7 linked regions of the Callithrix jacchus genome follow. The main gene of each other region encodes a partner of the protein of the gene in region 6 in a complex. Links are inferred from orthologs where the notes say so. Each region holds a gene or a part of one and is shown on either strand. Other genes may lie near its edges.

What was found.
Region 1: SF3B3 (region 6) and SF3A1 share a complex: the UniProt entries of both Homo sapiens proteins name them as parts of the 17S U2 SnRNP complex. The link is inferred for Callithrix jacchus from reciprocal best matches to the Homo sapiens genes SF3B3 and SF3A1.
Region 2: SF3B3 (region 6) and SF3B2 share a complex: the UniProt entries of both Homo sapiens proteins name them as parts of the SF3B subcomplex of the 17S U2 SnRNP complex. The link is inferred for Callithrix jacchus from reciprocal best matches to the Homo sapiens genes SF3B3 and SF3B2.
Region 3: SF3B3 (region 6) and SF3A2 share a complex: the UniProt entries of both Homo sapiens proteins name them as parts of the 17S U2 SnRNP complex. The link is inferred for Callithrix jacchus from reciprocal best matches to the Homo sapiens genes SF3B3 and SF3A2.
Region 4: SF3B3 (region 6) and MFAP1 share a complex: the UniProt entries of both Homo sapiens proteins name them as parts of the spliceosome B complex. The link is inferred for Callithrix jacchus from reciprocal best matches to the Homo sapiens genes SF3B3 and MFAP1.
Region 5: SF3B3 (region 6) and SF3B4 share a complex: the UniProt entries of both Homo sapiens proteins name them as parts of the SF3B subcomplex of the 17S U2 SnRNP complex. The link is inferred for Callithrix jacchus from reciprocal best matches to the Homo sapiens genes SF3B3 and SF3B4.
Region 7: SF3B3 (region 6) and HTATSF1 share a complex: the UniProt entries of both Homo sapiens proteins name them as parts of the 17S U2 SnRNP complex. The link is inferred for Callithrix jacchus from reciprocal best matches to the Homo sapiens genes SF3B3 and HTATSF1.

What each region holds. Positions count from the first base shown.
Region 1 is NC_133502.1:200,951,707-200,955,206, reverse strand, and holds part of SF3A1 (splicing factor 3A subunit 1), read left to right. Parts: intron 1-1,272; coding exon 1,273-1,394; intron 1,395-3,500. UniProt on the Homo sapiens protein: Component of the 17S U2 SnRNP complex of the spliceosome, a large ribonucleoprotein complex that removes introns from transcribed pre-mRNAs.
Region 2 is NC_133511.1:123,134,727-123,138,226, forward strand, and holds part of SF3B2 (splicing factor 3B subunit 2), read left to right. Parts: coding exon 1-73; intron 74-225; coding exon 226-363; intron 364-539; coding exon 540-620; intron 621-813; coding exon 814-1,041; intron 1,042-1,910; coding exon 1,911-2,060; intron 2,061-3,023; coding exon 3,024-3,113; intron 3,114-3,221; coding exon 3,222-3,329; intron 3,330-3,500. UniProt on the Homo sapiens protein: Component of the 17S U2 SnRNP complex of the spliceosome, a large ribonucleoprotein complex that removes introns from transcribed pre-mRNAs.
Region 3 is NC_133523.1:2,127,978-2,131,924, reverse strand, and holds the end of SF3A2 (splicing factor 3A subunit 2), read right to left. Parts: intron 3,449-3,947; coding exon 3,339-3,448; intron 2,147-3,338; coding exon 2,097-2,146; intron 2,018-2,096; coding exon 1,877-2,017; intron 1,566-1,876; coding exon 1,497-1,565; intron 1,404-1,496; coding exon 606-1,403; 3' UTR 501-605; downstream 1-500. UniProt on the Homo sapiens protein: Component of the 17S U2 SnRNP complex of the spliceosome, a large ribonucleoprotein complex that removes introns from transcribed pre-mRNAs.
Region 4 is NC_133509.1:31,470,290-31,473,789, forward strand, and holds part of MFAP1 (microfibrillar-associated protein 1), read right to left. Parts: intron 2,022-3,500; coding exon 1,862-2,021; intron 380-1,861; coding exon 290-379; intron 202-289; coding exon 19-201; 3' UTR 1-18. UniProt on the Homo sapiens protein: Involved in pre-mRNA splicing as a component of the spliceosome.
Region 5 is NC_133519.1:9,855,995-9,859,528, forward strand, and holds the end of SF3B4 (splicing factor 3B subunit 4), read right to left. Parts: intron 1,195-3,534; coding exon 1,021-1,194; intron 911-1,020; coding exon 723-910; 3' UTR 501-722; downstream 1-500. UniProt on the Homo sapiens protein: Component of the 17S U2 SnRNP complex of the spliceosome, a large ribonucleoprotein complex that removes introns from transcribed pre-mRNAs.
Region 6 is NC_133521.1:31,393,470-31,396,969, forward strand, and holds part of SF3B3 (splicing factor 3B subunit 3), read right to left. Parts: intron 2,581-3,500; 5' UTR 2,503-2,580; coding exon 2,433-2,502; intron 736-2,432; coding exon 409-735; intron 110-408; exon of another isoform or gene 30-109; intron 1-29. UniProt on the Homo sapiens protein: Component of the 17S U2 SnRNP complex of the spliceosome, a large ribonucleoprotein complex that removes introns from transcribed pre-mRNAs.
Region 7 is NC_133524.1:133,302,477-133,305,976, reverse strand, and holds part of HTATSF1 (17S U2 SnRNP complex component HTATSF1), read right to left. Parts: intron 2,886-3,500; coding exon 2,786-2,885; intron 1-2,785. UniProt on the Homo sapiens protein: Component of the 17S U2 SnRNP complex of the spliceosome, a large ribonucleoprotein complex that removes introns from transcribed pre-mRNAs.

The sequences.
Region 1 (3,500 bases), on a different chromosome or scaffold from region 6:
AGTCCTCCTACCTCAGCCTCCTGAGTCAGTGGGATTATAGGTGCAAGCCATTGTGCCCAGCTTGATAAATATTATTATCACTGAGTGTGGAAGCTGAGGAAGAGAGAGGAGCTCCAGCTTTCTAGCGTGGATGACTGGTTAGCTACTCCTGAGGAAAGAGGTTAGAGACGAAAGTGCCCAGGAGTCAGCTGGACCCAAAGCTGTTCGGTACACAGGAGTGTTCTGGGACATTAATTTGGGCCAGATGGTTTAGCCTATAGGCACTAGGGGGAAATGGAGGACACTGGAAACAGAAGAGAACCAAGAACAGAATTGGGCGGGGCTGGGGGTAGTGGGAATCACCAACTTTATAGAGCAGGAGGTGAAACGGGGGCTAGGGAGGAAACTTGAATGGAATGATGAGAAAGAAGGGAGGAACAGAAGAACGGGGCCTGGGAGTTGAGAGTGTTGTGAAGGAGTGGTCACCATTCATGCCCAGATAGTGGCGGTGGATGGCTGTGAGCAGTTGTTTTTGACTTTGTCAAGAGCACTTAAAATGAGTGGGGACCAAATGTCAGGTGAGGAAGTGAGACTAGCAAGACTGAAGAGAACTCAGGATGTTTAGCTGCCAGAGGAAGGGGTGGGAGAGGGCAGTGGCAGAAAGGAACATGAAGTTAGAGGAGAAACTTCATTTTTCTAAGATAAGAGACGACCCTTTGTTCGCTAAGGGAAAGAAGCTGCTGGAGAAAATACTGGAACTTATGGGATAGTTAATGCTGAGCATTTCAGTGGAGGGTCACAAAACCTTTGTGCATTGAATGGTGGTTAAGGTGTGGAACAGAGGCAGAGAGAGAGGGCATTCAGGGCAGAAGAAGCTGTCAGCAAATTATTTTCCATTTCTTTATTCAGCAAACAGTCATTAAAAATTCCATGCCAAGCCCAGCACTGGGTGCAGGGTTACAGACAAGGCCTGGATTCTGCAATGGTTTCTCAGGATGTAGTCTGAGTCCCTGCATCTGAATCACCTGGGCATTTGGTAAAAATGCAGATTCCTGGTCTCACTGAGACAGTTCAGCTAGAGAAGAGCCAGGGAAGCTACTCCTTACCCTGGGTCCCCAGGAGCATCCCTTGCAGGTGCAGTGAACTTAACAGCTTTTCTGAAGCAGAGGGTCCTAACCAGAGGGAAGTCTGAGTGAAAGTCTACCCTGACTGATGTCCTAGAGGAGTTTCACAGTGGAGAACCTGTGCCGAACCAGGGACTTGAAAACCTTCTTTCTTTTCCTGTTTTCATAGCCCATGGAAGAGGAAGCGTCTTCAAAGGAGGATTCTGCACCTTCTAAACCAGTTGTGGGGATTATTTACCCTCCTCCAGAGGTCAGAAATATTGTTGACAAGACTGCCAGCTTTGTGGCCAGGTAATGGAGCTACTTGGGTGGGTCAGAGATGGGTTTCAGCATGAAGAGGTTTCAGTGCTGAATCAGCACAAGGGTTTTTAAAGACTTGGGCCTTTTAGTTCATAAAAAAACCACAACATGGGAGTGGATTGGGCAGGACTGGTGTCCCTGACACAGCACAGCGATGGCCAGAGTGAGAGTCACACTTAGCCCCTGCTAAGTGTCACCAGGAGCCTCTGCTTCCAAAACTGGCCTGAGGAAATGTCTGGAGAGCTACTTCGTCACAGATGGTGTGCGTCTGTGCCTGAGCTGCTGGCCTGAGGAAGATAAAAAGGAGAATGTGTGCAAGGCCACATTCCAAGAATGACCCATCTGCAGAATGGAACAAAATGCCATCTCAGAGTTGTTTATTGTGAGACAGAAGCGAGGTCATGGGACCGCATGCCAGTGCTAGCTGTCTTCTCAGATGGAATGGGAATTGCTCCGAGTTCCTCCTGTCTCTCCCCACTGTACTTATACTCACATCCTTAGATGGAATTTTTTTAATGGCCCCTCGACTCCAAAGGTCAGTACATCCTCTAGGGTATTTAAGGTATTCCTTTGGCGGCCCTCAGGTCATGTCCAGCCTACAGATGTTTTGCTTGTCCTCACAGTAATTTTTTCAATATTCAAATTTGTTGCCACTATTTAAAAATGAGGAGGCCAGGTGCTGTGGCTCTTCCCTTAATCTTAGCACTTTGGGAGGCCAAGGTGGGAAGATCACTTGAGCCCCAGCAGTTTAAGACCAGCCTGGGCAACATAGCGAGATCCTGTCTACAAAAAATAAGAAGTTGTTTGGCTGTGGTGGCATGGGCCACCACATGGTCCTAGCTACTCAGAACGCTGAGGCAAGAGGATCAGTTGAGCCCAAAAAGTTGAGGCTGTAGTGAGCCATGGACTCCAGCCTGGGCAGCAGTGAAACCCTATTTCAAAAAAAACAAAACAAGTAAAAATGAGATTTCACAATCAATATGGATTTCTGGACAGCTCCTTCGTGTGTGGAAGCAGGTTCAGGCAGAGTATGTGCTCTCCAGGGACCCAACGTCACTCCCCTGAGGCAGTGCCTCAGTCAGTATAATCATTTAACGGTGTTCCTTCCTTTCCCAATCTGATGAAATTAAACATAAAGATCAATAAAGATTACTTTGGTTAGACCTTCTTGCCTTTTTTTTTTTTTTTTTTTTTTTTTTTTTGAGACGGAGTCTTGCTCTGTCACCAGGCTGGAGTGCAGTGGCGTGATCTCAGCTCACTGCAGTCTCCACCTCCTGGGTTTAAGCGATTCTCCTGCCTCAGCCTCCCAAGTAGCTGAGATTACAGGCACGCACCACCACACCTGGTTAATTTTTGTATTTTTAGTAGATACGGGGTTTTACCATGTTGGCCCGGATGGTCTCAATCCCTTGACCTTGTGATCCGCCTGCCTGGGCCTCCCAGAGTGCTGGGATTACAGGCATGAGCCACTGCACCCAGCCTACTTTGCTTAGACTTTCGCTGTGGCAGATCTGCAGATTCATCTCATTACATTTCAGCGGCTTTGATTAACCTGGGTATTAGGTTGAAAGCTGCTCCGTGCTTGATTGAACATTATGATGATGATGGTGATTGGGTCATGTCAGATTTAAATGGTAAAGTGTGTGTTTAAGATAAATGTTTAATGGCTCTTAGCAATGTCATGCTTCCCCTTTTCCCCTGATATTTTAAAAGCAGAATATACAGAAAAGAGGTGTTGGGTTAAAAATCACCATATTCTCATTACCAGAATAGTTTCTGCCAGCTGTTTTCACTTTTTTCTGTTTCCTTCTGTCCTTGACATCCTTTTTTAGATCCTTGTAATATTAGCAAAGATACTTTCACATTTCACTCTGTGTTTCTGCCACCACACTCAGCTAATTTATTTTTTTATTTTTTGTAAAGATGGGGTCTTTCTGTGTTGCTCAGGTTGGTCTTTAACTCCTGGCCTCAAGTGATCTTCATGCCTTGGCCACCCAAATTGCTGCCATTACAGGCATGACCACTGCACCTGTCCTGTTCCCAGTATTTCATTTTGGCAAATGAAGCTGTGGGGAAATCTCTGAATATTTTCTTTCC
Region 2 (3,500 bases), on a different chromosome or scaffold from region 6:
GTATGTGACTGAAGAACCAGAAATTTATGAGCCCAACTTTATCTTCTTTAAGAGGATCTTTGAAGCTTTTAAGGTACAAAAGAGCACACTTGAAAGGGGCAGTGCCAAACAGGGAAGGGGCTCAGAGGTGGGTGAGAGGCAGGGAACAGGCATCTTTTCAGTGCTGGTTTTAGGAACTGGGAAGGGACCCAGATGGCAGGGGTTTCACTTTGTCTGCCTCCTCAGCTCACTGATGACGTGAAGAAGGAGAAGGAGAAGGAGCCAGAGAAACTTGACAAACTGGAGAACTCTGCAGCCCCCAAGAAGAAGGGCTTTGAGGAGGAGCACAAGGACAGTGATGACGACAGCAGTGATGACGAGCAGGTCAGGTCTGGCTGTCCTGGCGGAAAGCAGGGACTCTGGGCACAGGTGGCTGAGAGGCATCCAGAGAGGGACCATGGTGAACTCTTGAAGAGCTTCGGTGGCTTAAGGTTGGGGTGGGTTGGGCAATTTCATTCACATCTGAGTCCTGCTCGAAAGAGGTGATTGTTCCGTTCTAGGAAAAGAAGCCAGAAGCCCCCAAGCTGTCCAAGAAGAAGTTGCGCCGAATGAACCGCTTCACTGTGGCTGAACTTAAGCAGGTGAAACTGAGAGGATCCTGCGGGCCCTGGAGCCCAGCTGGGAGACAACCTGGGAAGCCAGGGAGGTGACAACTTTGAAGGAAGTGTTGTGGGTGATTTGGGTATAGGTCCTTTGAGGAAGAGGAATGGGAAGAAGAGCTTCAAACCTGAGAAGTTGGGGCTTTCAACACACGCATTCCTGTGTGTTTTCCAGCTGGTGGCTCGGCCCGATGTCGTGGAGATGCACGATGTGACAGCGCAGGACCCTAAGCTCTTGGTCCACCTCAAGGCTACTCGGAACTCCGTGCCTGTGCCACGCCACTGGTGTTTTAAGCGCAAGTACCTGCAGGGCAAACGGGGCATTGAGAAGCCTCCCTTCGAGCTGCCAGACTTCATCAAACGCACAGGCATCCAGGAGATGCGAGAGGCCCTGCAGGAGAAGGTGAGGTCCTGGCAGGGCTCACACTTGCCCTCGGGTGTCCCCATCATTCACAGCAGAGTGCTGCAAAATGGGAACCTGGTTTGAAACCCACCTACCACCTACTTGTTACTTGTCTAATTATCCCTTTGTTTTCCTCCTCTGCTTTTCCTCTCCTCTGCCTTCACTTTGCCAGCTCACCTGGTGACTCGTTTCCCAGATGCACTTTGTGGCTACAGATTGATGGTGGTTGTGTAACTTCTTACATTTTTTTTTTAAGAAGGAGTCTTGCTCTGTCACCCAGGCTGGAGTATAGTGGTGCAATCTCCGCTCACTGCAACCTCCACCTCCTGGGTTCAAGCGATTCTCCTGCCTCAGCCTCCCAAGTAGCTGGGACTGCAGGTGTGTGCCACCATGCTTGGCTAATTTTTTTGTATTTTTAGTAGAGATATGGTTTCACCATGTTAGGATGGTCTGGATCTCCTGACCTCGTGATCCACCCGCCTCAGCCTCCCAAAGTGCTGGATTTACAGGTGTGAACCACTGTGCCCAGCTGTAACTTCTTAATTTTAAAGCTTTTAATTAAATGCTTTGGACTCAGGAGGTACAAAAGAGCATGGGGAAGTCTCTGCCTTTCAGAGAACTGATGAGGTTCAGCTTTGGTGAGATGGTTTAATAACTAGTTATTGGTATACACAGCTGAGGCTGATACGGTGTAGTCTATTTTGTTGAGTATGGATAATGTTTTGAAGGGTTTGAGCAGGAACGATCTTGGTGACTTTCAGGGTGACATAATTGAGGCTTCTCTTGATTTCTTTTGGAGCTGGAAGCTGGATTCTCTACATGAATTTGGTGAGTACTTGTTAAAGCTTGTCTTTTGCCATTCTCCACAGGAAGAACAGAAGACCATGAAGTCAAAAATGCGAGAGAAAGTTCGGCCTAAAATGGGCAAGATTGACATTGACTACCAGAAACTACATGATGCCTTCTTCAAGTGGCAGACCAAGCCAAAGCTGACCATCCATGGGGACCTGTACTATGAGGTTTGGGAGGGGGCTGGGAGAGGCCAGTTTGGGCCTTGGGGTTGAGACTGCCTAGGGCTTTTTTTTTTTAAATGGAGTCTCACCCTGTTATTCAGGCTGGAGTGTAGTGGAATGATCTGGGCTCACTGTAACCTCTGCCTCCTGGGCTCAAGCAGTTCTCCCATCTCAGCCCCTCAAGTAGCCAGGACCACAGGCACACCATGCCTGGCCAACTTTTTTAATTTTTGGTAGAGACAGAGTTTCGCTATGTTGTCCAGGTTGGTCTAGAACTCCTGAGCTCAAGCGATCTGCCCACCTCAGCCTCCCAAAATAAACCACTGCACCTGACCCAGGAGGGCTTTTGAAGTGACTACAGTAGTTCCTCAGCCTTAGAATTGCCCATTGACTACCTTCAGATGAGATGGACTTTAAAAATGAGGTCCTTTTTGAAGGAGAGATGCAGACCTGGTGACTTCTTTGTCGGATAGACTTTTCGTATCCTGTCTTTGAAATGATAATAGTTGGTGGTTGTTGGTTTAGGGATGAAGGAGCCAAGGGGAAGATGCTTTTAGGAAACTTAACACTGAGGGTGGTAGACAAGTTGGTATTTTCTGATCCTTGAAATCGTAGTCACCATGATGTCATGGAATTTATGAGGTAGAAGAATTAAATGCAGATTATCCCTTTGAGTGCCCTCATTTTACAGATGAGAAGGCAGGTCCTAACGTTGGCCATGTTCTCACAGTGGGTTATTGACAGCACTGGGAATCTGGGCTTTTCCCCTCCGCCCTGGTTTATATTCCTTCCCCCACTTTGGCCAGGGAAAGAAGTGATGAGAATCAGAGTGGGAGCCAGCTAGCCCTCAGTGGGATTTTCTATCTGATGTGGGTTAGGACTTCTCGCCTTTGTTTTCACATCCTCTTGCGGTTGTGCTCCCACTGAGTGTCTGGGTCTACAATGCAGTATGCTCTGCTTTTCCCTCAGGGGAAGGAGTTTGAGACACGACTGAAGGAGAAGAAGCCAGGAGATCTGTCTGATGAGCTAAGGATTTCCTTGGGGATGCCAGTAGGACCAGTGAGTGTCAGTGGGCTGGGGAAGCAGTGAAGAGGGTGGGGATTGGGGCAGAAGGCAGAGTCAGGGATAGGGTTTGGCAGATGGTATCCTGTTCTCTTTTTCATGCAGAATGCCCACAAGGTCCCTCCCCCATGGCTGATTGCCATGCAGCGATATGGACCACCCCCGTCGTATCCCAACCTGAAAATCCCTGGGCTGAACTCGCCCATCCCTGAGGTGAGCATTGTCATTTTGTTTGTTCAGTTCTGCTGTCTCTGCTTTTGAACTGGAAGGTAATTTTTTTGTTTTCCTTCTCTGACTCCACTACGTGTCTCTTTTTTATTGACACATCATATTTGTCACATACCATGTGTTTCTAGAAAAACAAAGAATGGTTTTTGTTTTTTA
Region 3 (3,947 bases), on a different chromosome or scaffold from region 6:
TGGGCCTAATGTGTCAACAGGCTGTCCTTGAGGGCCCGTCCCCAGAAGGCACAGGAGTGCAGCCAGACTACAGTGGTGGTGGTGGGGAACCAGATGTCCCGGGTGCTGGGCGTCGAGGAGGGTCCCAAGTCAGCAGGGGCTCCCTGTCCCCTGTTCACCCTCCCCACCCCTAGTGGGCTATCTGGAGACCCCAAGGGCAGGGGCTCCCTGTCCGGTTCACCCTCCCCACCCCTACTGGGCTATCTGGAGACCACAAGGGTATCCTGGAGGCTGCTCTTCCTTCCCCAGGACATGACCCCAGACATACTCCTAGCCGACTGGTGGGGTCTGTCCTCCACCAGGCCACCTCCAGGGCACAGCTGCCTCTCAGGCTCCCATGGGTGTCTCCTGGTGGGCCCCAAGCCCTCCCCAGTCGCCCAAACTTGGGATGGTGCCCTGCCTGGCACTCCCACACGGCATTCACACGGAGGGCGGCGCTGCAGAATCCGGGCACTCAGGGCTGGGGGAGGCGGTTTAATGAGTGGGGACAGTTACAAAGAGCAGCCTTCCCTCCCTGGGAAAGGCAGGAGCACCTGGGCCGGGCTTGCTGGGAAGGGAGCAGCTTCTCAGTTGGCTGGGGGAGGGGGAGGTATGTTCCCTGGGCCTTCAGAGGGGAGTGGGGGCCTCAGCATTGGGGGCATGGGAGTTGGGGGGTGTACCCCAGGATTTGAGGGGTGAACTCCAGGAGGCTGAGGGTGGACCCCAGGAGCTGATGGATGGACCCCGGGAGGTTGGGGGTGGACCCCTGGGGCCTGAGGGTGCATCCCTGGGGCTGGTGGGTGCACCCCCGGGGCTGGTGGGTGCACCCCCGGGGCCTGAGGGTGAACGGCCGGGGCTGCTGGGTGCACCCCTGGGGCCTGGGGGTGAACTGCTGCTGGGGGAGGGTGGACCCCCGGGGCTGGTGGGTGGACTCCGGGGGCTGGTGGGTGAACCCCGGGGGCAGGTGGGTGAACCCCGGGGGCTGGAGGGTGGACCACAGGGCCTGGGGGATGGACCCCAGAGGTTGGTGGGTGCACCACAGGGGCTGGGGGATGGACGCCAGGAGCTGGGGGATGGACCCCAGGAGCTGGGGGATGGACCCCAGATGTGGGGGGGTGCACCACTGGGGCCGGGGGGTGGACCCCTGGAGCTGGCGGGGGCAGTTGAGGTGGTCCTGGGGGCCCTGAGGGCGCAGGCCCTGTGGGGGGCATGGGTGGCAGAGGCAGGCCTCCTGGTGGGGGTGGTGGCAAAGACTCGGGCAGCGGTGGCCGAGGGGGCAGACCGTTCATCAGCGGGGGTGGAGGCCGCTTCACCCCAGGAGGCCCGGCAGGGAGGCTGGGCGGAGCCGGGGGCTTCTCCATCTTAAAGTGGAACTGGAGAAAGAACTAGAGACGAAGAAGGCTCAGCAGGTGCGGCTGGGGACTGGGCTGCCAGGGCCCCAGTGGGCGGGAGTCAAGGTGACCAGGCCAGCCACTAACCTGCTTGGTCTCCCGGTTCCAGTGCGTCCAGAACTTGCCCTCCGCCTTGTCGATCTCTCTGCTCGGCACCTGGGAGGGCAGGGGACAGAGGGCTCCTTCCTGATCCCTGCGACCTCAGGGCCGCCATCAGGCAGGGAGCTCAACCCATCCCGAGGCCCAGCCTCCCCGGCCCGGACCACACCCTGGGAGCCCATGGGAAGGCCCCGGCCTGACACAACCCTCCTGACACAGGGTTCACTCTGGAGTGAAACGGAGCTGGCCTCAATGCCAGCCCACCCTGCGCAGTCACTGTCTACAGTTTCCTGATGGCCGCCCTGGCCAGGTGTGGGCACAGGCTGAGGGAAGCCCCCCCAACAGCCTGGCATCCGCAGCCACGCTACCTTGAAGGCAATGGTCTCGTAGGGCTCGGCGGCCATCAGCAGGTACTGCCAGCGCCGGTCTGGGGGCTCGATCCGCTGCTCGTAGGCGGACATGAAGCGGTGGCGTGGCATGATGCCCTCGGCGATCTCAGGGTAGTCAATCTGCAGAGACACGGCCGGGTGGCAGCGCCGCCTGTTGGACGCCTATGGCCGCCCCCCACGCCCGGACCCCTGAGCTCACCTGGAAGAGGAGGCTCTGCTGGCCCATCTCCGAGTCCCTCTGCTTGGTCACTGCAACACAGAAGGCTCTCAGGTCCCAGCCGCTTGTCCTCCCTGAAGCTCAGGGACCTGGGACGGGCTAGTGCCACCCACTGAGAGAGGGCAGGACCCCGGGGGAGGCCCTGGGCCTCCAGGCAGCCGCTGGACTCTGCCTGTGCTCTTGGTCTCTGGGACGCTGCTATAGTGAAGGCACAGGTGCGCCAGGGCTGAGCTACCTGCGAGTCACTCAGGCAGGGACCGAGGTGGGTGCTCCTTTGTCCCCATCCTCAGAGCTCTTCACCCTCGGGTGCTGGGACACCACCAGCCAGTCAGGGTCACCGGGCAGGAAGGGCCCTTCGGCACCCTGCTCTGGGACTCAAGTGGGGCTGCCTGAACAGGGCCCACACGTGTGTGGGGTGAGCGCTCAGCCGCCTGGACCCCAGGAACGGCTGCTGGGGTGGGGGCTGAGTCCCTGCCAGGCCACCTGGCTCTCTCCACGCAGTGTCCGGCATGCACACTCACAAGCCCCCTGCCTCCCCACTGCCCTGAGCCCAAGCCCAGGACCTGTCAGGGCCTCCCGGCCGGGGCCTGCAGCTCAAGCTGCACCTGCCCTCGCCATCCAGCGCACCTGCCCCGGGCCTCTGCCCTACACGCTGCTGTCGGGAGGCCGGGCACACGGGGCGTCCCCGCCTTCCCGCCTTCCCGCCCCCCCGCGGACACACGTCTCTATCTTCCATCGCAGCTTTCTGAACTGGCAACCATTTCCACTGCTGAGGGTCCCAGACGGAGCCGCCCCTAACAGCCGCTGCTCCCCGTCCTCTTCCTTCCGAGGCTAAGACGAGTGGAACCCAGTTTCAAGGTTAACGGGAGAGAGGCGTCAGGCTCGCCACACCCCCACTTCCACTCTTGCTTGGCAAGAATTCCCAGAAGCTTCTACAACACTGGACTGCGAGGCACAGAGGGGCCGCCACTCACATACCAGGAGCCCCAGGCACAGAGGCGGCCAGGCAAGGAGGGCACAGACTGGGGCTCTGCTGGGGAAGGGGCCACTGGGTGAGATGGGTGCTTATCGCGTCCAGCCTGACAGCTCCCAGACACAGCGCCAGACGCTGCAGGCGGGTGAAGGATGGCCGCCAAGGCCATCAAACAGCAGCTCGGGGACGGGGTCTCAGGGCTGTGGCTTCCGTGCCGGAGCCCAAACCCATTCACGAGGCGGCAGACTCACCCTTGTAGCCGGGGCGGCCGATCTTCACAAACTTCTTCACCTCAACCTTGACCTTCTCAGGTGCAGGCTGGGCGGGGGCCTCCTTGGCCTCCTTGGCGGCTCGCCGGGCCCTGCGGGCAGGATGGACATGGTGCTGGGGCCCTCCACGCACAGGCACCAGGGACACGGGCCCAGGGACTGGTAGCCCCGACCTCAGAGCTCACTACACACCAAGGGATGAGGAGGGCCAGGGGCCGGGGAGGGGCCCTGGGGTTTGGACCAGGACAGGGGTGGGACAGGGATGTTCTCTTCCTGTCACGCTGCACTGTCCCTGCCTGGGGCCCTTCCCACAACCCCACGCCTCTGCTCTTCTCTTTTTTTTTGAGACAGAGTTTCACTCTTGTTGCCCAGGCTGGAGTGTAATGGCACCCTCTTGGTTCACTGCAACCTCCGCCTCCCAGGTTCAAGATTCTCCTGCCTCAGCCTCCAGAGTAGCTGGAATTACAGGTGTGCACTGCTGTGCCAAGCTGAGTTTTCTATGTTTAGTAGAGATGGAACTTCACCATGTCGGCCAGGCTGGTCTCGAACTCCTGACCTCAGGTGATCCACCCACCTCAGCAATACAGCCTA
Region 4 (3,500 bases), on a different chromosome or scaffold from region 6:
AGAATAAGCAAAACTACCCTAGGTAGTTTTCCGCTTCTTGGCAGATGGCCGTTCAAATACATCTCGTACCCCAGCTGCCTTTTGTTTGAAGAACTTTGTGTTCTGGGCACTCTCTTGGCCCCAAGCTGAGTCGAAGGAAGTGGTATCTTGATCCACAAGGTGAGTATATTTGGTGCGACCTGAGCGTCCAAAGTTCTTGACCTGAGGGAAGATGTAGGATGGTTACACCATCAAACCATACCTCATCTGTCAATACATTACTTTTTCATGTTATTAAGGTTCCCCATACCTGCATGACTTTAGGAAGAATGGTCTTGTTGAAATGATCCTCCAGGGTAGGAGCGCTGAAATCTCTCTTGTATACTTCTTCATCCTCATCCTGTAGAGAAGAATCTTATCAGTCTAGTGGCTTTATTTCCTATATATTCAAACCACAAACATACTTTACAATGAAGGATACAAAGAAAGCAGAGGGTATTGAGTCTTTCTTCAAGAGCTTACATCTAGTTGAAGAGATTCTTTTTCCTTTGTTGTATTATCTTTAATTTTTTTTCCCTGAGACGGGGGGGGGTCTCATTCTGATGTCCAGGCTGGAGTGCAGTGGTGTGATCACTGCTCACTGCAGCCTTGACCGCCCAGGATCAGGTGATGCTCTTACTTCAGCCTCCTGAGTAGCTGGGACTACAGGTGCACGCAACTATGCCTGATTTTCTCCTTGAATATAGACATGACTCAAAGGTTGGCTTATTCTCTCTGCACTCAATGTGTTCATTTACTCATGTGACTTCAGCTCTGCACAGGCCTCTCCAATCTCCAATCCTGGATTTTCTACTGCCTTTTATATAAGCTGGATATTTTATTGGGACTTTAAACTCACATCTAAAGTGAAGGGCAGGAATTTAGTTGCGGTGGGGATATTTAGAATTTGCTAAACAGTTGAAAAAGCTCGTCTAGTTTTTGATACAAACTGCTTTAACATGACAAAATCATAAACCATACAGGGTTAGCAGATTGGTATTTTGACTTTAGACTTTACGTGAAGAACAAAGATGGCACTCCACCTAATGGTTAGATAATAAACCATTCTTTTGGTTAGTTATGCTTAGGTACTTTGTCAGTTCAGAATGAAGTGAACCTTTTACCACCCAAATGTGAATTAATGTAAAGCTATTTGCAGTTTGGTTTTCACATACCCAAAACTTCTTATTCAGGTATGAAATAATAACAACTATGTGATTTGGAGGACCTAATTAGTCCACTATCTATATAGATCACTTCTCCATTTCATTTCCTCAGTTTATCTAAGGCTGGGGATGATGGCGCATGCCTGTAATCCTAGTACTTTGGGAGGTTGTGGTGGGAGGATTGCTTGAGGCCCAAAGGTCAAGATCAGCCTGGGCAACATATAGTGAGACCTGGTCTCTGCAAAAAATTGAAAAACTAGCAATTAGCAAAAAGAAAAATTAGCCAGGCATGGTGGTGCATGCCTATAGTCTCAGCTACTCTGGAGGCTAAAGCAGGTGCATAGTTTGAGCCCAGGAGGTCAAGGTTGCAGTGAACTATAATCATATCACTGTATCCCAGCCTGGGTGACAGCAAGACTTTGTCTCGTAAAAAAAAAAATATATGTCTATTACATCATTTCCTCTTTTTGAGAGCTGGGGCCAAAAGAGAGTTGATTACACTTCTATAATCCAATTACTGATGATGCTTTTCTCTGAGTTTATATTCTTCAGAGGGAAACAGCAAATGAGAAAGCTGACCACTGGCAAGTGAAAATAACATTCTTGAGGAGAAAAAATAATTCAGTATCTGAGTTATTCCTACTGCCCAATTTTTGGACTCTCTTCTCACTTCTTACCATGAAGAAGGCACCCCTGTGATAATACTTCTGTAAGAACTTATATTTGCCCTTAACAGCTTTGTTGGTAATAACTTTGCCATTTGCCCGAAGCTCAGCTCTTCTCTCTTCCTCAGTCAGGTTTCGCATGCGTTCAATTTCTGCTTTCTCCTTCTCAAGCCTGTCCAGGGAGCAAAACAATTTATTGGTACTGTTACAGCTTCAGAAAGACCAAATTATCTGAAAATAACAGTCCCATGTCATTCCAAATATTATTCACCCTCTTTAATTCTAGTCGCTGCCTATTAGGAATCAAGATCAGGAGCTCAATAAACAAAAGGGTAAGTTGGTCTTCATTATTTTTGCCAGACTAGGTATTGTCCACTTCCAAAAGTTGATTCTAGCCATTTTGAGGTTCAGACATACTATTATTACTGCTTCATTTTGCAACATTACAAATTCTCTTTCCCTAAAAAGTATTCTTAGCTTTAAAAAAAATCAGTGAATTTAAAATAACTGTCCAGGACTTCGGTGATATTCCTTTATGTAAGTGTATCAGAATCATATAGGTGCTTGCATGTCATAAACCAAAGATTACTGTTATTAATTAGATTGCAGTAACTTTTTAGCCACTATTAGGGAGAGAGGGGGTGATATCCCCTTTTTCCAAAAAAAAAAAAAAAAAAAAAAAGCATATATACACATAATTTTGTGTACAGTTTTTTTTTTTGTTTTGTTTTTTTTTTTGAGATGCAGTTTTGTTCTGTCACTGAGGCTGGAGTGCAGTGGCACAATCTTGGCTCACTACAACCTCCACCTCCCAGGTCCAAGCGATTCTCCTGCCTCAGCCTCCTTAGTAGCTGGGATTACAGGTGTATGCTACTATGCCTGGCTAATTTTCTTATTTTTAGTAAAGATGGGGTTTCACCATGTTGGTCAGGATGGTCTCAAACTCCTGACCCTTGGCCTCCCAAAGTGTTGGGATTACAGATATGAGCCACCATGCCCAGCCTTGTGTACAATTTAAAAGGGCACTTGGACTCCTACTCGTTCAAGTCCAGGATAAGAACCTTAGAAACTACAGACTGAGGGCTGGGCATGATGGTCATGCCTGTAATCCCAGCACTTTGGGAGGCCAAGGCGGGTGGATTACCTGAGGTGAGGAGTTCGAGGCCTGCCTGGCCAAAACGGTGAAACCCAGTCTCTACTAAAAATTAAAAAATTAGCCAGGCGTGGTGGCACATGCCTGTAGTCCCAGCTACTCTGGAAGCTGAAGCAGAATTACTTGACTCCCAGGGGGTGGAGGTTGTAGTAAGCCGAGATCACACCACTGTATTCCAGACTGAGTGAGAGTAAGACGGTCTCAAAAACAAAACTACGGGATGAGGATGGAGTTTTATCTATTATGTGTAGCTTATATGGCTCATATTCAGGCAAATTTTGGTTGTTTTTTCAGACAGTCTCACTCCAACTCAGGCTGGAGTGCAGTGGTATGATATCAGTTCACTGTTACCTTTGACTCCTGGGTTCAAGTGATTCTCCTGCCTCAGCCCCTGAGTATCTGGGACTAACAGGCACACACAACCAAGATGGCTAATTTTCACATTATAGTATAGATGGTGTTTTGTCATGTTGGCCAGGCTGCTCTCTAACTCCTAGC
Region 5 (3,534 bases), on a different chromosome or scaffold from region 6:
CTAAGGCAGAGGGATTGCTTGAGCCCAGGAGTTGAAGACCAGCCTAGCCAACATGGCGAAACTTCATCTGTACAAATACAAAAATTAGCTGGGTGGCACATGCCTGTGGTCCCAGCTACTTGGGAGGCTGAGATGAGAGGATCACCTGAGCCTGAGAGGTAAGGCCACAGTGAGCTCTGATCGCACCTGTACACTCCAACCTTGGTGACAGAGACTCGGTCTCAAAAAAAAAACAAAAAAAAATGTGGAGTAAGCACCCTTGCTCCTACTCCTCCTTACCATTCTTTTCATGATACTCTGACAGCTTTTCTGACATTTTTATACTCCAGGTGGAGTACAGTGGCCCGATCTCAACTCACTGCAACCTCTGCTTCCCGGGTTCAAGCAATCCTCCTGCCTCAGCCTCCAAAGTAGCTGGGACTACAGGCCTGTGCCACACTTGGCTAATGACATCTCTTCTTAAAGAGAAAAGGTACTGCTGTCAAGGCAAACACCACAACTACACAAGGAGTTTAGTTTTATTTTCTCTGTGCATCTGCAAAATACTCAGAACCAACATAAAAAAGTAATACCTCCTGTGGAAAGTTACATTACAAAGGGGAATGGGGTGGGGTGCTCAAAGAGGTTAGTGCCTCAGCCCCAAGGAGCTACAGCATCTCTGATTGGTCCAAGGAATCGAAAAGATATTGGGAAGATGTAACAGGAGGAAGGAAAATGTGAATTTACTGAGGGAGAGGGCCCCGAAGCGGGCCTCGAGGGGGAACTGGTGGCCGGGGAGTGGGTCTGGGTGGAGGGAGAGGCCCCCGCTGGTAGCCATAGGGTGGGGGTCGTGGAGGGCCAGTGTATCCATGGGGGGGCATCAGTGGAGGAGGTCCACGCATACCATGTGGAGGCATAGGACCTGGGTGACCTGCAAGAAGTGAAAGAAAAGTTAGTAAGGGCCTGGGACAGGGGTGTACCTACAGGAAGTTGTTAGAACATGTTAGGTGCAGGTGAAGGAGGTGGCTAGAGCCGACTTACCCATGGGAGATCCGAATGGAGGCCCTCGGGGGGGCATGCCCATTGGAGGAGGTCCAGGATGAGGCATTCCAGGTGGTGGTCGGGGCGGTGGCTGCCCCCCAGAGCCTGGGGGTCCAGCATGGGGATGTCCCAAGCCATGAGGGCCATGGTGTGCCAGCTGCATCTGAGTCATCCCTATGAAAATAAAACAGACACAAAAAGAAAAGAGACAAAGATAGAGAAGAGGGCAAAGAAAATGGAGAAAGGAAGAGAACAAAATTAGAAAGAAAGTGACATCAGAAAGAGGACTATATAGAAAACAGGATCCAGAAAATAAGGCTGGCTGGGCAGTGGCTCATGCCAATAATCCCAGCACTTTGGGAGGCCTAGGTGAGAACATCACTTGAGCCCAGGAGTTTGAGGTCAGCCTGAGCAACATTGTAACACCCCGTATCTGTCAAAAAAATTTTTTTTAATTAGCGAGGCATGGTGGTGAGTGCCTATAGTCCCAGCTACTCATGAGGATGAGGTGGGAGGATCACTTGGGCCTCGGAGGCCAAGGCTACAGTGAGCCATGACTATGCCACTGCACTCCAGCCTGGTTGACAGAGTGAGACCCTGTCACCAAAAAAAATAACAACAACAACAAAAAAAAACAGCCAGGTGCAGTGGCTCATGCCTGTAATCCCAGCACTTTGGGAGGCCAAGGCAGGCAGATCACAAGGTCACGAGTTCAAGACCAGCCTGGCCAACATGGTGAAATCCCGTCTCTACTACAAATACAAAAATTAGCTAGGCATGGTGGTGCATGCCTGTAATCCCAGCTGCTCAGGAAGCTGAGGCAGGAGAACTGCTTGAACCAGGACCAGGGAGGCAAAGGTTGCAGTGAGCCGAGATCAGGCCATTGCACTCCAGCCTGGGCTACAGAGTGAGACTCCGTCTCAAAAAAAAAAAAAAGGAAGGAAGGAGGGAAGGAGGGAGGGAGGGAAGGAAGGGTAGTAAAAAGTGCGCCCTATCCTTGACCCCATTCCAACAGCACAAACCAATCAATCACTCAAGACCTTACCGTCTTTGCTTGCTTCTTCCGTGACTTAGGCACTGTAATGGTAATGCTGAAGTACATAACAAGCAGAGTGATAACTCTGTTGATAGGATTTGAGAAAGTAGCAGAGGACATACTGTCTAAGCAAAGATCTGATTCTAAAGCACGAATATTTCAGGAGGATAAGATCGTGGAAAGAGAGCACCCAAGCAGAAAGCCTACCATGCACAAATTGGGCCAGGCGCGGTGGCCCAAGCCTGGAATCCCAGCACTTTGGGAGGCCGAGGTGAGTGGATCACGAGGTCAAGAGATCAAGACCATCCTGGTCAACATGGTGAAACCCCACCTCTACTAAAAATACAAAAAAAATAAAAAATAAAAAAAAAAATAACTGGGCATGGTGGCACGCGCCTGTAATCCCAGCTACTCAGGGGCTGAGGCAGAAGAATTGCCTGAACCCAGGAGGCGGAGGTTGCGGTGAGCCGAGATTGCACCATTGCACTCCAGCCTGGGTAACAAGAGCGAAACTCCGTCTCAAAAAAAAAAAAAAAAAAAAAAAAAAAAAATCACAGGTGTCTCCAACAGCACAGTATGTTCCAGGATATGCCAGTAACTCAGTATCAGGAGCAAAATGCAGTTATGGAAATGAGGGGCAGGGGCCAAACCATAAAGAGCTGTGAATGCTATGGTAATGAGTTTGGGTTTTACTCTGTAGGTAAAAGGGAGCAAAAGAGGAATTCTGAGCATGCATGTGCACATCTGTGTTTTACAAAACTTACTCTGTGAAAGTAGATCAAAGTTAGTGAAAACTGGAGTCAAAGTGGCCGGATATTACTACAGTAAATTAAGTGTAAAATGAAGGAATGAGACTCAACTGGGGCACTGGCCATGGGGAGAGATGCCACTGACATAAATAAGACTCAGTATTAAGAGTGGGGTAAAGGCCGGGCACGGTGGCTCAAGCCTGTAATCCCAGCACTTTGGGAGGCCGAGGCGGGTGGATCACGAGGTCAAGAGATCGAGACCATCCTGGTCAACATGGTGAAACCCCGTCTCTACTACAAATACAAAAAATTAGCTGGGCATGGTGGCGTGTGCCTGTAATCCCAGCTACTCAGGAGGCTGAGGCAGGAGAATTGCCTAAACCCAGGAATTGGAGGTTGCAGTGAGCCGAGATCGCGCCATTGCACTCCAGCCTGGGTAGCGAAACTCCGTCTCAAAAAAAAAAGAGTGAGGTAATACTCCCCACAGTCACAGCAAACATAGCTCTCAGATTCATGAATTAAGCACCTGGAAAAAACGAATACTAGAGGAAGAATAGGTTTGAGGGAGAGGGATAGAAAGGTGGCACTATCTATTAAGCAGCAGCATTAAGGATCTGGAATGTTAACAGCTATGAACTAGAGACACAGATCTAGGAGGCATAAAACTACACATATATGCAGAAAAGAAAAGCACAAAAATCTACGCCCAAGTCCACAGAAGTCTATTGT
Region 6 (3,500 bases):
GTGACTGCTCAGAGAGGACTGCCCTCTAGAGGCCTGATCAGATTACACAAAATTTTCTTCAAGAATTTCTCTGAGAAGAGACATGAAGGTGAATCATCACCTCAGGCTGATGAGAGCAACTATATTCACTGTCTAATAACATAATATCATTTCATTGCAGTCTTTTGGCCAAAGACAAAGGAATTGAAAACACCAATTTCCAACTAGATGGGAAGTAGAAAGGTGTGTTAAGATTTTTCCCATTGTTTTAAAAGAAAATGCAACTCTTTTTAAAAAGTAATGCAACATTAAACCTAGAGTAAATCCAAATATGTCAAACCCACATAGGTAATTAACTGGCACACCACCAAGATCACAGCATTGTGACCCTAAACCAAGAATGCACAGCGGGTAGAGTAAATCACTCACTAATCATAACGGCTCGCCCTTTGGGATCCACAGCTAAGAACTGGCCAGGAACAATACGACGGCAGCCACTCTTGCCAAAGGTTTCTTGATGAATCTTCTCAAACATATTCTTAGATGGCTGGTATTCCAAGATAACAATTCGACCAGAGTCACTGCCAACTACAATGTAGTCTTTGGTGCCACCTGTCAGCCTAAAGGCCATGAGTGACCGGATAACACCAAATACTTCCACAGTGAGCAGGGTATGTACTTTGCCAGTGTTGGGGTCTGGGCGAAGCAGCTCCAAGATCTTCCCACGGGAAACAACAATTTCTTGTTGTTTGGTTCCTAGATCACCAAAAAATAAAGATTATAAACAACTAGAACCCAGCCTGGCCACCATGGTGAACCCCATCTCTACCAAAAATACAAAAATTAGCCAGACATGGTGGCGCGCACCTGTAATCTCAGCTACTCGGGAGGCTAAGGCAGGACAATCGCTTGAACCCGGGAGGAGGAGGTTGCAGTGAGCCAAGATAGTGCCATTACAATCCAGCCTGGGCAACAGAGCAAGACTCCATCTCAAAAAAAAAAAAAAATTAGGTGTGTGACATATGCCTCTAGTCCCAGCTACTTGGGAGGCTACTGGGAGGAGAGTTGGAACCCAGGAGTTAGAGAACATAGTGAGCTATAATCCTGCCATTGCACTCCATCCTAGGCAACACATCAAGACCTCGTCTCTTTAAAAACAAATAAATAAATAAACGACCAAGCACAGTGGCTCACGCCTCTAATCCCAGTACTTTGGGAGGCCAAGGTGGGCAGATTATGAGGTCAGGAGTTCAAGACCAGCCTGGCCAACATGGTGAAACCCTGCCTCTACTAAAAATACAAAAAATTAACTGGGCGTGGTGGTGCACACCTGTAATCCCAGCTACACAGGAGGCTGAGGCAGGAGAATCAACTGAACCCTGGAGGCAGTGGTTGCAGTGAGACGAGATCGTGCCATTGCACTCCAGCCTGGGTGACAGAGCAAGACACCGTCTCAAGGAAAAAAAAAATGTACTTTCAAAAATTCTATCCAAACTCCAGCTGAGATTCATTACATTATATAATGAAGTCAGTCACAAATCTCCAAATTCCCATATGCATATTTCCTTAATCAAACACAGCAAATAACTAAATTACCCAAATGAAGCCTCAAACCCACAAAGAGCCATAATGAGGATCAGAGAAAATAGTAACATGAAATATGAATGCTGTGTGGTCAATTAGGCTGCTGCTCACTACCACACATTCAGTTTTCAGATTTATACCTCAAAATTATGTAATACTCTACACCATCATGAACCTCCTGCATTACTTGGATTAACTCACAAATGTTAAATCTGTAAATGGCAAGAAAAAGTTATTTTATAAACATTAGTACCTTTTTTTGGGTAACTATGTATTTCTTAACCCAGTATTTGAAATTTCACACAATTCAAACCTGACTTTAATCCATCTTTACAAAAATATCCCCGACATGGACATAAGCAAATGACCTGTTTCTATGCAGGCAGCACTCACTACCTAAATTGCACTTTCTCCATTCTCATTCAAAAGTTTTAGCTCTTCAAGCACCAAACCAAGGTCCAACTTTCCCTTTACTTAAATCACTCTATGATAACTTAAATCACTCTCTGATAACCTGACAAACACCTTCAGACATTCTTTTTACCCAACCTGATGTCAAATTCAAGATCAAGGATCAGGTCTTACACATCTCAGTATGTCTCACAGCAATAAGCACACGACTTGGCACTAAGTAGGCAGCCAAGAAATGTGTGCCCAGACAAGAATCATTACACAATGTGTTTAGGAAATGTCCCCGAAATAGGTAATAGATAATGCATCAGAACTTAACACCTTATCTCATAATTTGAATTGTTTACATTTACCAACAACTGTTTTGTCATAAATGGAAAAATTTCCTCCACAAAAGATTAAGCAAGATATGTACTAATCCACTTAAAATTTCGAAAGATGTTAACAAAAGAACTTACCAGAAAAGTTGCCATGAATGGCAAAGCTGATGCCAGTGGCTCGCTGCAAGGTTAAGTTGTACAGGAACATGGCTGCAGCAAATCTGAGCCAGCAAACCTAATCCACGCCTCCAGGTCTTGCACACCAAGAGTACCGAATGCAAGCAAACTGAGGAAACAGAAAACAGAAAAATAGCTGGGAGACTGTTACTTCAACAGACATATTTGTATGGGAAATTCTGGTTGAAGACAGCAGAACTAGTGGAGTAAGAGCAAGAAACAATAGGCCAGGCGAGGTGGCTCATCGCAGCTCCTCAGAGGGCTAAGGCAGGAGAATCACTTGAACCTGGGAGGTGGAGGTTGCAGTGAGCTGAAATCGTACCACTGCTCCCACTTGTAATCCCAGCACTTTGGGAGGCTGAGGCAGGTGGATCACAGGGTCAGGAGTTCAAGACCAGCCTGGCCAACATGGTAAAACCCCATCTCTACTAAAAATACAAAAATAAGCTGGGCATAGTGGTGGGTGCCTGTAATCCCAGGTAGTACTCGCGAGGTTGAGGCAGGAGAATCGCTTGAACATGGACTCAGGAGGCAGAGGTTGTAGTGAGCAGAGATCATGCCACTGCACTCCAGCCTGGACTACAGAGTGAGACTCCAACTCAAAAAAAAAAAAAAAAATTAAATGCAACCTCTAAATGCCAAGTCACAATGCCATATATTTTGCCTTTAGCCTCGTAAGAATCCTATTAAGTTGCAGTATTATATCCATTTTATAGATAAGAAAACACAAACTCAGAGATTAAATCACCTGCCCAAGGTCACTTAACAAATGAAAATGGTGTGAGAACTGGAATCTGTAACATTAATGCAGTATTAGGCAATTTGTCACAGAAACTAAGCAGATCTATGTTTACTTGTATTCCAACAGGCTATACATTAACTTAGTCAGAATTCAAAGGCATAGCAAAAAGCTCCCTCCAACCCATTCCCTAGCCATCCAGTTCTCCTGGGGGAATCTACTTCACTAAGTCATAATGTATCCTTCCAAATATTTTTTATATCTATAAATAAGAACATATACTGTAGAGA
Region 7 (3,500 bases), on a different chromosome or scaffold from region 6:
AGAAAACAGCACAGCCTTTTGTACATAGCCAACATTCAAAAAAATCTTTTTAAGAATTTGATAAACTGTTTCTAGTATCTTTTATTCACCAAGAAAATCAGACTATATTAAAAACAAAAAAGGCCAGGTGTGGTGGCTCACGCCTGTAATCCCAGTACTTTGGGGGCCGAGGCAGGCAGATTACGAGGTCAGGAGTTTGAGACCAGCCTCACCAACATGGTGAAACCCGTCTCTACCAAAAATTCAAAAATTAGCTAGGCAAGGTGGCAGGTGACTCTAATCCCAGCTACTCAGGAGGGTGAGGCAGGAGAATCATTCGAACCTGGGAGACGGAGGTTTTGGTGAGCTGAGATTGTGCCACTGCACTGCAGCCTGGGCGACATAGCAAGACTCCATCTCAAAAAACAAAACAAAACAAAAACTGTTTCAACATGTTTAACAACTTTTAAGTGTGATTCCATGGTGGGGGTAGGCATTACCTTTATTTCTATACCAGTATCTTAGTGCTTTTCTTTTCTTTCTGTTTTTGAAGACGGGGTCTTGCTCAGTTGCCCAAGCTGGAGTGCAATGGCGCAATCTTGGCTCACTGCAGACTCTGCCTCCCAGGTTTAACAGATTCTTCTGCCTCAGCCTCCCAAGTAGCTAGGATTACAGGCGCACGCCACCCAGCTAATTTTTGTGTTTTAGTAGAGACAGGTTTCACCATGTTGGCCAGGCTGGTCTCAAACTCCTAACCTCAGGTGATTCACCCGCCTCGGCCTCCCAAAGTGCTGGGATTATAGGCGTGAGCCACTGAGCCTGGCCTCAGTGGTTTTCTTATATTATCAAATCTTAGCCAAAGTCTTCTCAAACCCTTGTTTCCATTTATAGCAGCCTGAAAACCTAACAGATCTTCATTGCTATATAGTACCCTGAAGCTTAAAGGGAGTGATCTCCTTTAGGGAGATTTTTTAATCTACCTAGCTACACATGTGGTCATTTTAAAAAGACAAAACTTTCCAAGCAATCTAAGACTAAAATCAGACTCAGGCATTGGAACCTTCTGCAGTCAACTCTCATTAATTTTTTTTGGAAGAAATAAACCATGTTTCTCATTCCTTGGCAATCTAAACTTGTGCTGTCCAAGATGGTGGCCACTAACTGCATGTGGCTAGTCCAAACTGAGGCGTCCTATATACGTGAAATGTACACCATATTGTGAAGACTTGGTACCAAATGAAACAAAAAGCAATGTAACATAGCTCACTAACACTTTTATCTACATTACATGTTGAAATTATAGTTAGGATGTTCTGGGTTAAATAAAATTCATTATTAAAAATAATTTCCCATTTCATGTTATATTTTTATTGTGGCTACACAAAAATGTAAATTACACATGTGGCTCATGTTATATTTCTATTGAACAGTGCTGGCATACAGTGAGAAAATGTACCTTTGTATCTGAGTTTTTCTTTTTTGAGACAGAGTCTCGCTCTGTCGCCCAGGCTTGAGTGGAGTGCAGTGGCATGATCTCAGCTCATTGCAACCTCTGCCTCCTGGACTCAAGTGATCCTCACACCTCAGCCTCCCAAGTAGCTGGGTTTAGAGGCATGAGCCACCGCGCCCAGCCTAACCTGCTTTCTGTATAACTTGCTATCACTACTTTCAGAACCAGGGAGAGAATAGTTGTTTCTCCACTATACAATAAAGTTGCTCCACACCAGTAGACAGAGAAGAGAATAGAGGCAGAATGTAACAACAAACTGTACATTTTGCTTCAGACTTGTGGGAGAGAGAAAAAAAAGTTGTTCATACAATACTTTGTTATTTATTAATGATACTTATTGAATTTTACAACAAACTGCATTTCAGTCACAGTTACAGTCAGAAAACTTTCTGAAATAAAGGTGGCTCAAGCCTGTAATCCCAGCACTTTGGGAGGCCGAGGAGGGTGGACCACGAGGTCAAGAGATCGACACCGTCCTGGTCAACTTCGTGAAACCCCATCTCTACTAAAAATACAAAAAATTAGCTGGGCCATGGTGGCGCGTGCCTGTAATCCCAGCTACTCAGGAGGCTGAGGCAGGAGAATTGTCTGAACCCAGGAGGCGGAGGTTGCGGTGAGCCGAGATCGCTCCATTGCACTCCAGCCTGGGTAACAAGAGCGAAACTCCGTCTCAAAAAAAATAAAAATAAAAATAAAAAAATAAAGGTACTTTGATGACAATATTCCTTAGAACTCCTTAAGTAGTTCTTTGTTCTTCCTTCATTCAGTTTTTTGAGGGGAGGAAGGGCAGTTCCATTCACTTTTTAAAATCATTTTAAGAAAATGATTAAAATACTATTTTAATCATTCACTTTTACTTGCTGTTATTGGAATTTTACAGGGACATTAAGCATTATAACTTTTAATATTAAACTGAAGTCTGCATTTACAATTGTGAAGCTGGTACTCCCCACCAAAATCAGTCCACACTTGTTGAACTGCACTCAAAATTCACAAGCAGTTCCCATAAATCTTTTAATGATGGTATTTTTCAGTGATTTCCCATACCAAGTAGCTGGGGTGCAGTACGGTTATTAAACACTCTTATCTGGGATATACTTTAAAACAACACTGGGCTAAACAAAGGGAAGAGAAATTAAAAAAAAAACTGAAGTAGCCTCTTGGCTCCATCTTCCTTTACTACTCACTGCACAAACACGCAGGAGGTGACATGACAAAGATGGGGTGAGGCAAGCTCCAGGCTCCCTTGAAAGAAAGCCTATCAGCATTTCTATCAGTGGGCACACCACTTCCTACCTCAAAATCCATAGGATGAAACATATTCTTGATGATGACAACTCGCTCATGGCGCATCCGGGATGGCCCAGCTCTCCTCTCAGGTCTCCAATCCAGCTGCCTGAGGCAATGAAGCAGTAACAACAAACTGTAAATTTTGCTTCAGAGTTGGAGAGAGAAAAAAATGAGTTGTTCATACAATACTTTGATGAGTATCTAATAATAATAATTACTGGATTTTACAACAACAAACTATTTCAGTCACAGTTCTAGTCAGGTAACTTTCTGAAATAAAAATAATGGGCAGGGGGCCGGGTGCAGTGGCTCACACCTATAATCTCAGCACTTTGGGAGGTGGAGGCGGACAGATCACTTCAGGTCAGGAGTTCAAGACCAGCCTGGACAACATGGTGAAACCCCATCTCTACTAAAAATACAAAAATTAGCTGAGCGTGATGCTGCACGTCTGTAATCCCTGCTACTAGAGAGGTTGAGGCATGAGAATCACTTGAACCCGGGAAGTGTAGGTTGTAGTGAGCCAAGACTGCACTACTGCACTCCAGCCTGGGCAACAGAGCGAGACTCTTGTCTCAAATAAATAATAAAATAAAATAAAAGGCAGGGGCAAAATGGCCCCAATATCTGAAAAAATCCCCAGAATAAATGTTCTCCAGGGCAACTGCTGTCTGGTTATACAAATATTCCAATGAGACCCTTGAAAAACCTCTAATTCTTA